Linked DNA regions of Arabidopsis thaliana. The main gene of each other region encodes a partner of the protein of the gene in region 2 in a complex. Each region holds a gene or a part of one and is shown on either strand. Other genes may lie near its edges. A codon is read from its position in the direction of its gene.

What was found. Proteins that work in one complex are often made in the same cells at the same time.
Region 1: the proteins of CKL2 (region 2) and SCAB1 are in contact, whole or in part, in a crystal structure (PDB 8Y47), measured with the Arabidopsis thaliana proteins. Residues at the interface, in NP_177415.1 of Arabidopsis thaliana: Asp366 (codon at 2,096), Ala368 (codon at 2,090), Ile369 (codon at 2,087), Ser370 (codon at 2,084), Lys371 (codon at 2,081), Asp372 (codon at 2,078), Val373 (codon at 2,075), Val374 (codon at 2,072), Leu375 (codon at 1,888), Phe380 (codon at 1,873); in NP_001323795.1 of Arabidopsis thaliana: Ser326, Gly327, Lys330, Asn385, Val386, Val387, Thr389, Gln390, Asp395, Cys432, Val434, Arg435, Gly436, Gly437, Gly438, Asn439, Ala440, Ala441, Gln443, Ala444, Tyr446, Ser454, Val456, Ala458, Phe459, Glu460, Pro486.

What each region holds. Positions count from the first base shown.
Region 1 is NC_003071.7:11,402,998-11,411,021, forward strand, and holds SCAB1 (plectin-like protein), read right to left. Parts: upstream 5,425-8,024; 5' UTR 5,203-5,424; intron 4,888-5,202; exon of another isoform or gene 4,826-4,887; intron 4,752-4,825; 5' UTR 4,747-4,751; coding exon 4,465-4,746; intron 4,152-4,464; coding exon 4,023-4,151; intron 3,806-4,022; coding exon 3,713-3,805; intron 3,273-3,712; coding exon 3,132-3,272; intron 3,035-3,131; coding exon 2,966-3,034; intron 2,845-2,965; coding exon 2,761-2,844; intron 2,617-2,760; coding exon 2,436-2,616; intron 2,216-2,435; coding exon 2,099-2,215; intron 1,919-2,098; coding exon 1,860-1,918; intron 1,775-1,859; coding exon 1,640-1,774; intron 1,544-1,639; coding exon 1,394-1,543; intron 1,311-1,393; coding exon 1,260-1,310; 3' UTR 982-1,259; downstream 1-981. Other genes in the region: CYCB1;4 (Cyclin B1;4), read left to right, coding at 64-208; AT2G26780 (ARM repeat superfamily protein), read left to right, coding at 7,128-7,313, 7,403-7,570, 7,661-7,750. UniProt on the Arabidopsis thaliana protein: Plant-specific actin binding protein that bundles and stabilizes microfilaments (MFs). Has no nucleation or capping activity. Regulates MF reorganization during stomatal closure. The binding to F-actin is insensitive to Ca(2+) and pH.
Region 2 is NC_003070.9:27,369,672-27,377,790, reverse strand, and holds CKL2 (casein kinase 1-like protein 2), read right to left. Parts: upstream 5,595-8,119; 5' UTR 5,239-5,594; coding exon 5,163-5,238; intron 5,076-5,162; coding exon 5,035-5,075; intron 4,211-5,034; coding exon 4,141-4,210; intron 4,048-4,140; coding exon 3,899-4,047; intron 3,822-3,898; coding exon 3,726-3,821; intron 3,646-3,725; coding exon 3,578-3,645; intron 3,228-3,577; coding exon 3,166-3,227; intron 3,083-3,165; coding exon 3,019-3,082; intron 2,933-3,018; coding exon 2,848-2,932; intron 2,772-2,847; coding exon 2,645-2,771; intron 2,537-2,644; coding exon 2,454-2,536; intron 2,381-2,453; coding exon 2,317-2,380; intron 2,207-2,316; coding exon 2,070-2,206; intron 1,889-2,069; coding exon 1,613-1,888; 3' UTR 1,061-1,612; downstream 1-1,060. Other genes in the region: AT1G72720 (hypothetical protein (DUF3511)), read left to right, coding at 505-888; AT1G72700 (ATPase E1-E2 type family protein / haloacid dehalogenase-like hydrolase family protein), read right to left, coding at 6,300-6,986, 7,081-7,272, 7,351-7,449, 7,579-7,704, 7,835-8,044. UniProt on the Arabidopsis thaliana protein: Casein kinases are operationally defined by their preferential utilization of acidic proteins such as caseins as substrates. It can phosphorylate a large number of proteins.

The sequences.
Region 1 (8,024 bases), on a different chromosome or scaffold from region 2:
GTTATTATTGGATTTCCATTTTTAGCTGTCATGACTAAACTGGTTTGGTCTGGTTGTTTTCAGGGAGCATGCGAAAATGCTGATGAAGTTAAGGGACTCGGCTTCAGAGAGTAAGCTAATAGCAGTGTTCAAGAAATACTCTGTCTCAGAAAACGCTGAAGTTGCTCTTCTTCCTTCGCTTGACGACTTCTCTGTTTCTTGTGCATGAAGAAACAAAACCCTAGTCTGCTTTTGTTGATCATGTAGCTGTCATGATCTCTTTGTGTTCTTTCTTTCTTTTTTCTTTTTTTGGTTTTTACATTGATCCTCTGTATGATCCCGTCAAAGATAATGATGTTAACCATGAACAAGTTTTTAAGTGTGGTTTCATTTATCTTCAGTTTCCTTGGATTCCTCAAATTACGTTTTGGAATTTTTAACTCTTTTTGTCACAGATATCTTCTAGTTAAAATGAAATCTTTGGTTACTAATCTAAAGACATAAATTCGTTTATTGACGAATCTAAAAACCATAAATCACTTGGATATATATTCATTCCCGTTTTTTTCCTCTCTTCCTTCGAAACTGCGTTTCAAACCTCTAAATCGAGCTTTTTGATTTTGAGGGTTAGTGTTGGCTTTGTTGATGAGACAATTGCGATAACACTACTTTTGTGTAGTTCCACTATATCAAAACTTTGTGACTTTGTCACATGTTAAATTTGATATGCATCTAAGGGCAGCTGGATTCGCAGAAGGAAGAGTGATGAGGTGGACGGTGGACCAATGTGGTTTGCTCTTCTTCCTTCGCATGACAACTTAACTGTTTCTTGTGCATGAAGGAACAAAACCCTAGTCTACTTTAGTTGTTGATCATGTAGTTGTGATGATCTCTCTCTTTTGTTCTATCTTTTTGTTGTTGTTTGGTTTTAACATTGGAATCTCTGTGAGATCGGTTAGTGAGAATGATCGACGATCATGGATTTTCGGGTTTGTTGCAGGATTTTGGCTGTGATTCACTTGCAATATATTGTATGCTTTGGGATCCAGTCCAAAACAAGCAATCCGTTATATTACCTCAAGGGCAAGTAAGATCAAAACAAATGAATAAACACAAGCCACCCGTTACATATAGATTCACCATCACCTCTTACTTCACTGCTCGATATTTTTACACACAATACAAGTACAATTCAAACAAATGCCTAAAACCTATATAAACTACAAAACAAATAAGCTCTTACGGATACTAAAAATCACAACTTAGGTAAGAGCCGTTCTTCAAGGGCTTTGACCCGTCTCTGTTCTGTCTTCTGGACCAGCAAGTGTCACCTGCAACACATCAGTTTCATACTTACATCAACACCTCTCTCTACAAAAACCAAAGTTTCTAACTCCATCTTAGTTATACTTACATTACAATCACAAGCAAATCTTCGTGCAAGCATGATCGCAGCGTTTCTTTCTCTCTCAGACTCAAAAGCTATCACAAATGACACTCCTTTCTTCGCCTGCCAATACAATGCCTGAGCTGCAGCATTTCCACCTCCTCTCACTCCACATAGCTACTCAATATGATCATCAAAGATTATGATATTATAGATCTCACCGTGTAACACTAAAAATATGACAATTTTCTCGGGGTAAAGTAGTATCCTTACCTGCATTGCACTAGAGTAGTACTCTTTTGCAATCACTGTCTTTCCCTTGCAAAGTTTTATCCTCATTTTACCAACATGAAACAAGTGGATAGATTCTGATGTATGGTCTTCCCCACTCATTTGGGTCACAACTACCTGTAAATTACAATAAGGGGAAATATAATATACATACAAGCACCAAATATATAAATACTAATTCCGAGTGTTAGAGAAACCTTACATTGAAATCAACATCGTGTTTCCGTACTAATGCCTCGACATAGCTACCCAATCCAGCAGCTGCACCAAATCAAGACTTTGTTATGTTTGATAAATCATCTAGTAATGACGAAAATCAGGACCGTGTTTGTTGATTTGTCAAAGTTAAGTAATATCTACTAAGTGACAGAACCTACACAAACCATTTGATCATGTTGACATAAACAATAACCTTTTACAGTAAATAACATAACAATGAACCTGGATCAATCTTTCCCACTGTGGATAACGAAAGCGAATGGCCATCGTAGATGATATCTGCATGCAAGACTCGTCCAACGTCAAAAGGCTCGGGAGCGTAAACTGATTTTGTGGCACCTGAGATAGGAACATAGTTAGGAAACATTTTCCTCAATGGGAACAATGTTAAACTTGATTTTGCCCTATTTACACCAGCCTTTGGAAATATATTGTTCACAATTCCAAAATCATTAGTTAGAAGAAACAATCTGATTTGTAATCGACTAGCTCACAGAACAGAACATTTTAAAACTCAAATATAATAAGAGAAAGAAAACAATGAGAAAGGTGAGTGGACCTGATATAAGCTCCTTCTTGGAGCCATCTGAAGATGAACGGTACCATTGTATCGTACACTTGGAAAGATCAGGTGCATCATTGGAGCAAGGTCTAACTCGCAAACAAGATCCTAGAGCTTCAGTGCCATCTATTTCATATACAAGGGATATATTTTCCTCGCTCTTTCTGCACATTGCGAGCTGAATCATAGAAAAATGTATATAGTATCAGAATCCACTATTTGTCAACCGCATACAGTCACAAATGTGGAAGTTAAGACATCAAAAGGACCTGGAATGCACTAAATAGAATATATATGTGTATGGAATATGGATCCAACTAACCTTCTTTTGTAGTTGAAGAAAATGTTTTGATTTCTCTGCAAGCTGATTTCTTAGTGCTCGAAGCTCATATTCCATATCCATTACCTAAAACAATACACATGATTTGACTTTTTAAAAACAACATAAGATACTAAAGAAGCATCGACTTAGACAGACAGATAAAGCCATTTAAACCCAAGAGATAAACCATCTTTCATCTACCTACCCTGCTTGGTTGATGCAGCATTTTAATCCGCCTAGCTTCTTGAACTTCCTTCATTAGATCTTCCATGTCCTGATACGATAAATTATAACAATACTCTGTTAACACGAATCAATGTTATAAGCATAGGACATTTACAAGATTATGATAGAAGCCATCACTAAAATACTTGTTTCCCAGAGGCACGAGACATCTGTTCATGTTCTCGCAGGGCTTCTTCAACTCTTTGTACAGCTGCTCTTGCACTTTCAATCTCAGCACGTGCAAACGCTCTTTCCTCGTCGACAAGTTTCTTAGCATCCTCTGAGGCCTAGTTAAAAAATCATACCCACTAATCAGCAAGATTATTAGAACACATCTGCATCTTTTTCAAGCTAGCCCATCTAGTAACCACTAATTTACAACCGACAACAGAAGACTAATACAAATGTCCCAAGCAAGATAAGAAAAAGAATCAAGAATAGTAAGTGAAAGATTATGTCTGTAAAGAAACTACATCATAGTTCTTTGTCAAAAGTAATAGAATATAAACTACTCAAATGAAAACAAAAAGGACAGACTCTCTCTTAATCATCTGGTTAGCTCAAGGACTAACAAAAACTGCATGGTATTAAGCCGTGGACGAAAACGTATTTGCTATTTTAGAGGACTTGGTTGTTTCAAGTGAAATGACATAGACGTCTCCTAACTATTCACCTCAAGTGACACGAGAAAAGAAAATATTGTCACTGTCTCAAAGGCACACTTTACCTGCTTTAAAAAAGACGCTAGCTTTTTCACTTCCGCTTTTTCTATGAATAGCTCTCCTTCTCGCTGAGTCAACTGAACAGCTAGAGCTTCAACCTAGCAGAATTCAAAATTCCAAACATACTTAAGATATAGAGGTGGAAGGGAAAAATGTTGGTAATGGGGATTGTGAGACAATTTAAGAACGCAGAACTGAAAATGGAAAAAAACACATTTCGGTTTGTAGAAAAGGCTAGAGGCGATATATATCACCATGTAAAGGAACGGAGCTAAATATGATGACTAAAAGACTATAAAAGAGTAAAAGACTAACCATGGCAATGGCTTCCTCTACATCATCCTTGTTTCTACCTGCCACACGTCCTCTTAGAGACTCCAATGCATCTCGAAGTTTCTTTAAAAGAACATGTTTCTCCAACGAAGTTGCTTCTTTGAGTTTTGCCTGCATTCGTTCCCAACCAAATTAGCCTTAAATTTTTTTTTCAATCATATCATATTTTCACTTTAGCAACCTAGATTAGCCTTCTTGATCCCCTATTTCTGTATTTATAACAACAAAAAATTCTTTGCTAACAAAAAGTAAGGTTATCACCGAATTAAAATCCCTCTTATTAAATCCTATTTAGTAGACTCAATCAACACAAAAACTAACATAAATGTGCAAATCAACTCATTACATAGTAACCAAAGATAGTAACAATACAAGAGACACATTTCATCTATAAGACCTCAACAAAAAGAGAATAATATCAGACCTCCTCAGATAGCTTAGCAGCTGCAGCCAAACCCTTCTCAAATTTATGAGCGAGGTCACGAACAGACAAACGTTTCTGCTGGTCCATAAGCTGCGCTGTCTCACGCGCAACAACCTCTTTCATGGACATCACTTTAGGATCGTCTTTAACATCAAATATTTGATCATTAGCTCCAATTCTATAATTAGGAAATCTACTTGAAGCAAATTTCACATCTGCTGATACTGCAGGAACACCATCTCTCTGTAATGAATCCCGAAAATCGCGTGTAACCCTTGTCATTGTATCTGTTTATAAACAAAACCAAAAATGCTTAGACAAAAACAAAATAAAAGACAGAAAATGCTAGTAGATGTCTAACCACTATGAATAGTAATATACTCCAATGGACTCACAGATCTGTTGTTGAATCTTCACAAAAATCTAAAACAACAAAAACAAAACATTGTTTTTTTCAGTACCTACGCCAATGTTGGAAATAACAATGGATTCAACACACATTTAAAAACATTTTATAGCTACAGAGATAAAGAATTGATGGATGTCAAAACCCTAGATTACCAAACAAAAGAGCTAACAACAACTACCCATATACCAATTTAGTAACAAATTTCAAAGAAGATAGAAATTGAAAGTCAAATTTTAAGAACTTGAAATCGAAAATCAGAACACAAAATACTGCAATAATCACGAACAACGTCGGAGATTTTCAAGAGAACAAAGCTAAACACTTCTCACCTGAATCCGATTAATGGATCAGACAAATGTTTTGAGTTGAGATCGAATTTGAGAAGGTCGTCGAGAACAGAGAAGGAAGAAGAAGAAGATTTGGTCTGAGGAGAAGGCAAAAAGTGAAGTTTGAGAGAGTCGTAAGCATTAGCTTTACTAAAAAGCAAAGACCGTGAAAAAATTGTGGCTTTGGTGGAAACACTGTCTTTTTTCTTTTTTTCTTTTTTTTTTAATTTAGTTTTGTTTAAAAGTTTTTCTGGTTTAGGTAATAAATTGTTGCATAATTTTCAACTCCGGTTGATGTGTGTCGCTGTCGGACTGTTGTTGTCTGAAACTTAAAAATCACAGAGCGGTCACGGGTTCTGTTTCGTGTTTAACTGCCACGATATTCTTTTTAATTGTTTTTTAAAAGGGAAAGTAATCAAAATGATGACACTAATAAGAGTGGTTTGGTGTGAAACTTAGACCTTTCTTACACAAATTTGGTAAAGCCAAAACTTTTTTTGGTCATGGGGATTTATTTTTTTTTACTTTTTATTTTTTTTTTTGTCATAAAGAAATTATAGAATCTTGTTGTGAAAGACGTAAAATATAATGCCCAAACAAAAAAAACGTAAATTGGCGGATAAACTATAAGTTCCCAAAAAAACATAAGCTGGCGGAAAAAGAGAATTCTTCGGAATCTAGATCCTAAATAAAGAAGATGAAGTAAACTCAAATTATAATGCAGAAAATATCAAACCAATCTCGAAAAAGGACGATAGTACAAACTAAGATCCATATTAACAAGACAAAATCTTAAAAAAATAAGAGATCCAACAAAGCAGAAACTCCACTTCTTTTAACACACCTGCAAGTACGATTGATCAAATCCAAAATAACATTTACCACCTCCTATCACGTTGAGAGCCAATCTCTCGAGAACCAAGGATATCATAACCCGACATGCAAGACCACTAAAAGAAACACAAACACCATTCCAGATACGACGATGACCACCAATTCGTCACTTAACGTCTAGATAGAATCCTTCAAAAAACAATCAGATTACGACAAAATTGTAAAAGAAGGACAAGAAGCGAGGCAAAACTTCTCAAAACCCACCAATCACAAGATCACCAATCACGAGTAAAGCCACAACTATTTTAATTAAATCATACAATATCCTAAATTAGGCTTTTCTTTTTGATAAATTAAAAAAAAAAAGATAGGATCATCCAACAAAAATAGTACAAACAAAAAATGTCAAAATCTTGCATCACCTCTAAAAACCTTTCATGTTAACAAAATCTTGCATATTTTTGCCCTATACAAAGTCTTGCATATATACAAAGTCCTTTGGTATATTGTTGTTAGCCACCTTATCTAACTCTTTTACGGGCTCTGTCCTCATGAAGAAGAACAATTTTTTTAATAAATTGTTACCTTACCACATATAAGCTTAATCTGGAATGGTTGTGATTTAATCAATGAAGATATTGCCTCAAACCTGAATAGAGGAGTGAAAGTGGATTTCAATTGGTTGGTTATCAAACCCATCAGCATGATACCTGTTAGTTTCTCGGCCATACCACTCAATCATTGCCATAAATATCATTGAAGTCTACTAGTCTGTTTGAGACATTCAACTCACACAAGTGGTGGGTTATTTTCTCTGACAAACACGGCCAAACAATAAAATTGCTGAAAACAAGAAGTTGCCTAAAAAACCAAAGGACTTGTGAGAAAAATGGCAAATGCGGGCTAGGATGGGCTGTGGATTAGAGGCCCAATATGCCTAATGGGATACAACACGACGTCGTTTAGACCAGCCATAGTTCTCTTGTCCGCCAAGACGGGAGAGACTAAGGAAAAGCATAAGAAGAGAAGAACCAAAGAAGAAGCAAAGAAGCACTGATAAATCTCTGCAACTCAACAAATTTCTGAGATTAGCTATGGAAGGTTCTTCATCTTCGTCTTCGTTAATTTCCAAATCGGACGCTGAGTTGGAGGAAATGCTCGATCGGATGCTGACGAGACTCGCTCTTTGCGACGACTCCAAGCTCGAATCCCTAGTCTCTAACCTCCTTCCTCTTACCATATCTTCTCTTTCTTCTCAATCTCCCGTTGTTCGCAACAAGGCAAGTCAGAGATTTACGAGCTCTTCCTCTGAATTTAGTGTTTGACGATTTCATATTGATTCTTAGTGTGTGTTGATTTCATTTTTCAGGTTCTTGAGATATTGAGTCATGTTAACAAGAGAGTGAAGCATCAGCATGAAATTGGTTTGCCTTTATTGGCTTTATGGAAATTGTACACAGATCCTGCTGCTGCTCCTATGGTTAGGAACTTTGCTATTGTCTATGTTGAGATGGCTTTTGAACGAGCTCCTGCAAAGGTTTGCTTCATCTTAATAGTTGTTGGAATTTGCGTTTGCTTGTCAATACTTTGGAAATGAGAGGACTGATTTTTGTTTAAGTTTTAATAGGAAAGGGAGGAAATTGCACCTAATACACTGGAGAATGTTTCAAAGCTTCCTAAGCAGCATCAAGAGATTATTTTGAGAATTGCTATTAAGGTTGTCTCTCAGCTCCTCCTTTAGTGTGGATTTGGATATTTATTTTATGACTGCTATTATACATTTTTTCTTTCGTTGTTCGAATTGTTACGCATTACTTAGATGACGAGGACAATATGTTTTCTTTATTTTTTCTTCATGCCGTTGTTTGTGTGATGATCCTTTTACATTTTTCTCTCTATTTGATGGGTTTCTCATGTTCTAGTGGTTAGTGCTACATGTAGTGGTAGTCCTATATGTTTTATGTAGGGAACAATATCTGGTAATTTCTAGA
Region 2 (8,119 bases):
TTTCATTAATGAACTTTTGTTGATTTTCTAGTTTTCTACTCTTGAATTTACAATAAATATATACTACATAAGGTTGGGGACGAGCCCCAAAAATTTCCCTCGAATTCATGAAGTGAGAAGCGGCCATGTGTAAATCCAAAGGACATGAGATCTTACAAAATTTTCTTAGGAAAAATAAATATGCAAAACTGTACTAAGTACAGTGATAACTAATCGCTAGTAATGTTTTTTTTTTAAATGTAACAAACAAATCTCATCTAAAACAATATACAAACAAAAAAAACTTCGAGTAACTAAATAGATACAGTATTGAGGTTGTGATTACTGCACTAAATATTGAACAAGATATAGAGGTGATGTCTCATTCTATAAATATGTCAAAAACTCGCAAGTGACAAAAAGCAGAAGAGAAAGAGGTTGGAGATAAAACCCAAAAGCAACTATCTCCTTTTTCTTCCTAAAAAAGCAGAGCAATCTTTTTTTGAGGTTTGTTTGCAAGTGAAGATGTTCAGATCTAAGTCATGCAGAGAAGAGACCAGAAGTAGCAGCATCACCAACAAGTACCATTGCTTCAGTCATGGAGAAAAATCAGAATCAGAACCAACAAACCAGCAGCCACCAGTGATGATGAGATCTTACAGTACATCAACTTATAATGCATACCAGAATCCAACAATTGTGAGAGACGACTCCAACAATAAATCGAAGAGAAGCAATAAGGTGAAGAAGAAAGGATTTAAGGGTTTGTGTGAGGCAGAGATTCAGAGGAAGAAGAGAGTGGCTTCTTATAATGTGTATGGTGTTGAAGGGAGAGTGAAAGGATCTATGAAGAAAAGCTTCAAATGGTTCAAGGAGACTTGTTCAAACGCTGTCTATGGTTTGTGGTGATCCAACCACAAATCTTCCCAATCTTCTTCTCTTGTTTCCCCCATTGAACTTGTCTGTTTTTATTCTTGTTCTAAGTAGGGTACCCTTCTAAGTATGATGATTGCTGTAACAACTTAAGCTACGATAAATACGATTTAGCATTTACAATATACTTCATTGATTCATTCGTAGACATGATGAAGTATGACATAACCAGAAGATGCAACTCTCAGATCCTCTTTAAGGAAGACCAGAACAATTATTGCATCTGTCCATGAATTATAGCTCTCATTTCACTATTTTTACCAACAAAAATGACCATTTTTACCCACACCATATGAGAAGATACTCAATATAAAACCTTCTTTCTTTTGTACGTTTTTTTGCAGCCCGAGGAATAGTTCTAAGAACTTAAAACCTTTTTGAAGCACAAACGATTTTAGCTGTTGCAGTACCAAACAAGACAAACACAACATAAACAGTGTAAAACCAAATGGGGAATAAAAGTGTTAAAAGTCTTTTGACTTTTTAGTCTCGCCCTCTTTTGAGTTTGTCTTTCTCTGAAAATCACTTCTTCAGAGTCTTTTCCTTATCTATGTTATTAGAGTGTGTGCTTAGAGGCACAAGTCTCCCTCCCTGTAAACACAAATGCACGTAAAACATGAGGAGGGCCTAAGAGAGGTCATCTTTGTCTTTTAATTTACACTTGTCCCGGGGTTTCAAGATCATTCACTGGCCCCAACGACTAAAAATGCAGACTCTCGATCCCTTTAAGATTAGCCTCATAGTTCTTCATGACTGAAGTAGTCGCCCTTGAAGGTGATGATAGCTTGTTGATCTCAGATGAGACGATAGGTGAGTTTCGACTAACAGGGATCTTTGAATTGGAGCCTGATCCAGCTTCAACGATTTGAGGGTTTGATGGCTCAGAATCAGTTCCCAGAACTGCAGCTTCGCGACTACTGGATACAGCAGCACGTCTTGATGACCCAGTTGCGCGGAGAAAGCTAGAGCTTGATAACTGTCACAAGAAAAACAAACAGCTCAGTTACCATTAATACAAAGAACAAGAATCCAAGAAACTAAAATTCAGCTGCCAATCCTTGTGTATACAAGCAATACAGAACCTTATGTTTATTTCTTCAAATCAGCAGCTAAAGAATTGGATACCTGTAACATGGGGGGTAATTTTATGTACTCACCACTACATCTTTAGATATTGCAGGATCACTTGAAACTGGTGCTTTTTGTTTAGCTAAGCTTCCTGAGTTAAAAATTTGTCCAGAATTTCGTCTAGGGATTCCTGATGACCAGCCAGAAGGTCTAGCTTCGTCGCCACCTGCAAAGAACACATCAGATGGGTGAAAACCATGCCCCTATAGAACAGAGTAACATAGCCAAATGCGTAATGAAATTTGGAAAAAAACTACTCGAAATAGATGGAACTACCTGATGGCCTCTCAGCACTGGTAATGGCAGGGGGGAGGGCAGAGCTTGGCCCAACTACAGGACCCTGGAAGAAAGGTACATATTCAGCAGAGTTTAAGTAGGACGATGACATTCGGAAAAGAAAAACTGATTCTTACATGATGACGAGGAGGAGGAGTAGAAATCTGTGATTGCTGATACTTCAAGATCGTCCAATCAAATACATAATCAAACTGGAAGCCTAATATAAGCAGATGACGCAAACTCAAATTAACATGTTGATTAACTGGTCCAAGTTATATTTGCTTCACAAGACTAGAATTAACATAAGTGATTGAGGGGACCAAACCTTCACGAATAAACAGGTCGCGGAAAAGCCGTTTCAGGTAGGCATAGTCTGGCTTGTCGTCAAATCTCAGAGAACGGCAATAATGGAAATAAGATGCAAATTCAGATGGATAACCTCGGCATAAAGCCTAAAAGAAGAATAGAATATTTAATCAGTATTAAACCATAGGTGTCACCAACACAGGTATCAGAACATTATTTTACCTCAATAGATGTCGATACTTTCTTTTCACTGATTTTCTCATACTTTTGCTTCTTATTGCCAGCTTTCAGTCCTTGCCAAGGAAGACTGCATTACATTGGATAAGTAAGCCAAATGCCGCCGAAAAAGAACCAATAGCAACATGCCAACAGGTACGGAAGAGAGGTACATACCTTCCTTTTAAGAAGTACATGAGAACGAATCCAAGTGACTCCAAATCATCTCTACGACTTTGTTCTGTAATAAAATAGCAATTACCTATCCAGAATTACGTTCTTTAAAATAATTAGAAAGTTAGAAACTAAATGAACTGGTATTACCAATGCCAAGGTGAGTGTTCATGCTAGCGTATCTAGCAGTTCCAGTCAAGTTTTTGTTTTCCCTGTGATACACAAAATATTAGAATTATAATTGATATGAAGAAACATCATATACTGCAATCATACTTCCTAGCAATACATTAAAATGATTTTCTCATATACTAATGCATCTTCGTAAAAAAAGGGGAAATAAGCTATATATCCTGAGTCAATACTAAAACGACAGTTATCCTGAATAGCCATATATCCTGAGGATAAAGATGACTCCACCCTTTTACAGGGATGTGTTACATAGAAGAATTTTAAGTTAGACAACAGTCACACAAGCTAGTAAAAGATTTTTTTTTTTAAAAAGTCTACATAGGCGTAAATAAATAACAGACCCAAAGAAAATCATAGGGCTATAACCAACCTATATGGAATATGCTGATGATTTGAGTCTCTGTACTTCTTTGCCAGACCAAAGTCGATGACGTATACCTGTATTCAGTCAACAAATCGTTGAACAAATAATTCTGGAGAATAAACAAATTTTACTAACAGCCCTTTTCAACAGCTACCTGATTTGCACGCCTTCCAAGACCCATCAGAAAGTTGTCAGGCTTGATGTCCCGATGTAGAAATGACTTCTGATGTACAAACTCAATGCGATTGATCTGAAAGAGGAACAAAGATATCCTAAACGTTTATTCAACATGAGAACACAATTTTCAGGCTATAGACGGGATCCTACCATTTGATCTGCAAGCATTAGTACAGTCTTTAGTGAGAGTTTCCTACTACAGAAATTGAATAGATCTTCAAGGCTAGGCCCCAACAAGTCTATCACGAGGACATTATAGTCCCCTTCAACACCATACCATTTAACGTTTGGAACGCCAGCTAGAAATCAAGGAAAGGAAAGCAACCCCTCTTGGATAAGAAAAAAGACATCACAAACTACAAATGTAAACAAGTACAGAACTAGATCCATACTTCCTCCTTGTAATACTTTGTACAACTTTGATTCATACAGCAACTGAGGATGCTTAGTTTTCACATTTTCCTGAAACAAGAAGAAAAGATGCCGTCAGAACATATACAACAAACACAGTAGCCAAACTACGATAAATCTGTTACATTTCAGAGCAAAAAAAGAAATGTGAAACAAGCATGAGGATTTGATTTAACATACTCAACAGTCAGAACCAGTACAAACAGGTAACAGAAAAAAGAAACAACCAATGTTCAATACAGTAATATGTATAGCTGTCAGCCTCATAATTCTCCAGTTGTAGGCCACAACAAAATTTTCAATAGGTTGGTCCCACCAGTTGCAGGTAGTTTTGTCGTGGACTCTAAGAATTGATTCAGCATTAATTAGACTATTTGCTCAAGAATCAATAATAGATCTCAGTTCTTACGGAAAAGTCAGGTTGAACCCAGATTTAAACTATAGAAATATTGGTTTGATCATGTTGAATACTGAATGAAAACAGTCATAGATAATCAAGAGGAAGCTTAAGGAAGAACTCAACTAAATTGCAACAATCGCATGATCAGAGTAGAAAAAGCAGTGTGTAGCCTGTTAAATAAAATTCTATTCCTTTTTCGTCTAAACACAGTACACCAACGTTTTCATTCCGATCGATTTTAACATGTAAAAGGAGAAGCTACAAGCTAAGAAAGACCAAGCAATAAACAGAAGTCTTTCTACACATAAGTCACAACTCACAACAATCAAAGCTTTCTTCCCACTTTCCGAGAAAATTCAATCTTTTATTTAATGAAGATATACGTACAGACTTTACATTGCAATACTAAATTCTATGTACTTCAATTAAACACTGAAAATGATAAAGTTCCACTTTTTGAGTAGGAATTACTTACAAGTTTAATAGCCACTTCTTCATTCGTCTGGATATTGGTACCTAAAAACCATGTTAAAACAAATACTTATATAATCATCGCAGTCACAGAGACCACAAACGAGAGGTGAATCAGAATAAAGAGGATACCAAGATAGATCTCTCCGAATGATCCACCGCCGATCTTCCTTCCGAGCCGAAACTTGTTTCCGACTCGCGGCTCCATCAAATCGAAAGCTGATAAAACCTATAAACTACTTCTAAACTACCGAAATCGATTACTAGCCACCACTCGAATCCAAGAGCTTCACCTTTCGCCGGATTTTTTTAATTAAAAAACAAATAGAAGAAGAGATTGGACCTGAAGATTTGAAGGGTTTGGGATAAGTAGAGCCAAAAAAAAATCAAAGGGATTGAAGGAAGAAGTTGTCGCGGATTCCGATTGACTTCCGGCGAAAGAGAGTCGTCATATCAATCCACGCGGCGAAAATATCCCAAAAGGGAAGGGATAGACTCAGAATTGCTTACACTCTCATTTTAACCAAATCTCTCTTATTATTCTTTTCTTTTTTTATTTTCTCCATGGAAAAATAATAATAATTGCGGAGTTGTTGGGCCGTACTGAACCCATATTGGGCAAAACCCGGCCCAGAATAATTAATTAAATTAAAATTAATATATTAGTATAAAGTAAGTTAATTTATTCGCCAACCACTTCATCTCTAAAGTCACTAGAAACTAGAAAGTAACAGACACGCAAATAAGTTGGAGATTTCATTACCTAATTACCTAAATGCCAATTGGTGGATACGAAACCATTTACTAAAGCAACAATTTCTATAATATTTCTTTGTGGAAACTTATGAAATGAAATTGAGAGTTATTTCTAGTTGAAATGAAAATCATTTTACAAATCACTGCTATTGAGAGTTATTTCTCTCTTTTTTTCTAAAGTCAAGATTCACTTAACAGATTTTGTATAAACAAATTTATATAAATGACCAATTAAATGATTAGAGGCACAGAAGAGGCACAGAAGAGGCACAGAAGGAAGATTCTTTGTTATGTTTTTTTGCATTCTGTCCTAAGTATACACAAAACCTAAGTATAATGTGTACAAGATAAAGAAAAATTCGAACCCAACAAGTAGAAAAAACATCAGAGGCTACTCTTTACATGATCTCACTCTATTATAAACTCTCAACAAAATTAGCTTCAAGACCTGTCTCCAAAGTCTGATGCATCAGAGAATTGGACCTGTAGAAAAACAACAAACACTATACAAGGCTACAATGATCTAGGTGACATTGCGTCTTGAGCTGAAAAATGTGAGAGATTTGACTGTTTCTTGTTCAGTTTCGACCTTAGATGCCTGATTTTCGCATCGACTCTAGCTGTGAATCCGATCTTTGTCTTTTCTCGGGCTTTTGTACGCTCTCGGGTCCACAATCTCGCATCTTCAATATCTCTTCCGTAGTATTTGATCTCTTGGATGATATGATGATCCAATGGATTCAAGAATCTCTGGAATGCAATGTGAGCAACGTAAGGAAGAACTGCAGCCACTGTGACCAACAATGTAGCCATCCAGTAGATAGGTGCAGGAGCAAGAATCTCATCAAGAATCCTGTAAATGTTTCCAGAATAACTCGGAGGCATCATACTGTAGATAGCCACAAAGAGATACCACATACCGATGCTTCCCCATATCAAAACGTGTTGGATCCAAGTGAAATGGGACATGGTTAACGCGATTTGAACATTAGCTGCCCAGATTATGCAAGTGAACATGGTTGTGCCAACAGCATCCATGTCAGCTGTTTGGCCATTGTCTCTGAAAGCTTGAGAGTAAATGATTCCGATGTTGAGGAAGAATATGACAAGAGATGCATAGACGCCATTGCACATCCATCCAAGTATTCTTGACCAATCAAAGAAGAGGTTCTTTGTGCCTTGTTGGTATAAAGCTGGGAACTACACAAGCACAAGCGAAAAAAACACAGATTATTGTCGATGATCAGCAGAGATTCGAAATAGCTTTTCAAGAAGGGAGATTTATAAAGCTTACCTGTAAGCAGATCTCGGAAGAAACATCCTGTTCAAAGACACCAAGGGCGATTACTGGCAATGAGGTAAGGACAACATTGAAGAGCAACAAGTAGTAGTCATTGTATACTGATTGCCCGGAAAACCCGGTGAAAGCCTCAAAGTAGAAGAGAGTGAGACCAAATGCTATGTTTTTGTAGAAGAAATAGCAAATCTGGATGTAGAACAACATAAGGTTAGAAACAAACTAAATGTAAGAGTAACTAAAATGGCCAAAAGAACTACATATTACCATCTGAGCTATCCTTTTGTAGCACCAGTGTCCGTGGACGACGAGTAATCGTTCCAGAAACCGGAACTGGGCAATCGAAAAGTCACTAGCCATAACAGCCTGCAAAAGTAAGAAGGATCAGCAAAAATGTCGACATGGTTTGATTTTCAATGAACTTTCTGCTAGTCAAGAAACAGAAAACATGGCTTGAAAAACAGAAAAGGCATGGTGCTGAGAGAAAAACTGAACCTGCATTCCTTCAACCCCACTAATTCCTACACCAATGTCAGCTTCTTGAATCATCCCAACATCATTTGCACCATCACCTATTGCCAATGTGGTTTTTCCAGTTCCCTCTTTAACCAACCTAACAACCTTGAATTTGGGAAAGAGCAAAATAGATAAATTTAGATTTTCTTTTTTTTGTATGAAGTTTCGGGAGTTGCATAGTCAAGGAGGAATGCGATGAAACGAATAAGGGAAGGATATATATATATATACATACCAAAGCCTTCTGCTTGGGAGACACTCGACAGCAAATGACTGATGCACAATCCACTGCCAAAGCCAAGAATTGATACTTCATATCATCCTCCAAGGCATAAGTTAGAGTTTTCCCGTCAATAATCAAAGCAAATGCAGCATGCGGATCCTTCTCAAGCTTCACCATTTGTACAGCTTTTGTGAGTTGATTCAAAATGTTCTCTTTCACAACCTAACACATCAGTAGAAATATAGGAGTGAGGTTCGAAATTTTAGTTGAAGGAACTTTAAATTCATACTTTAGCAA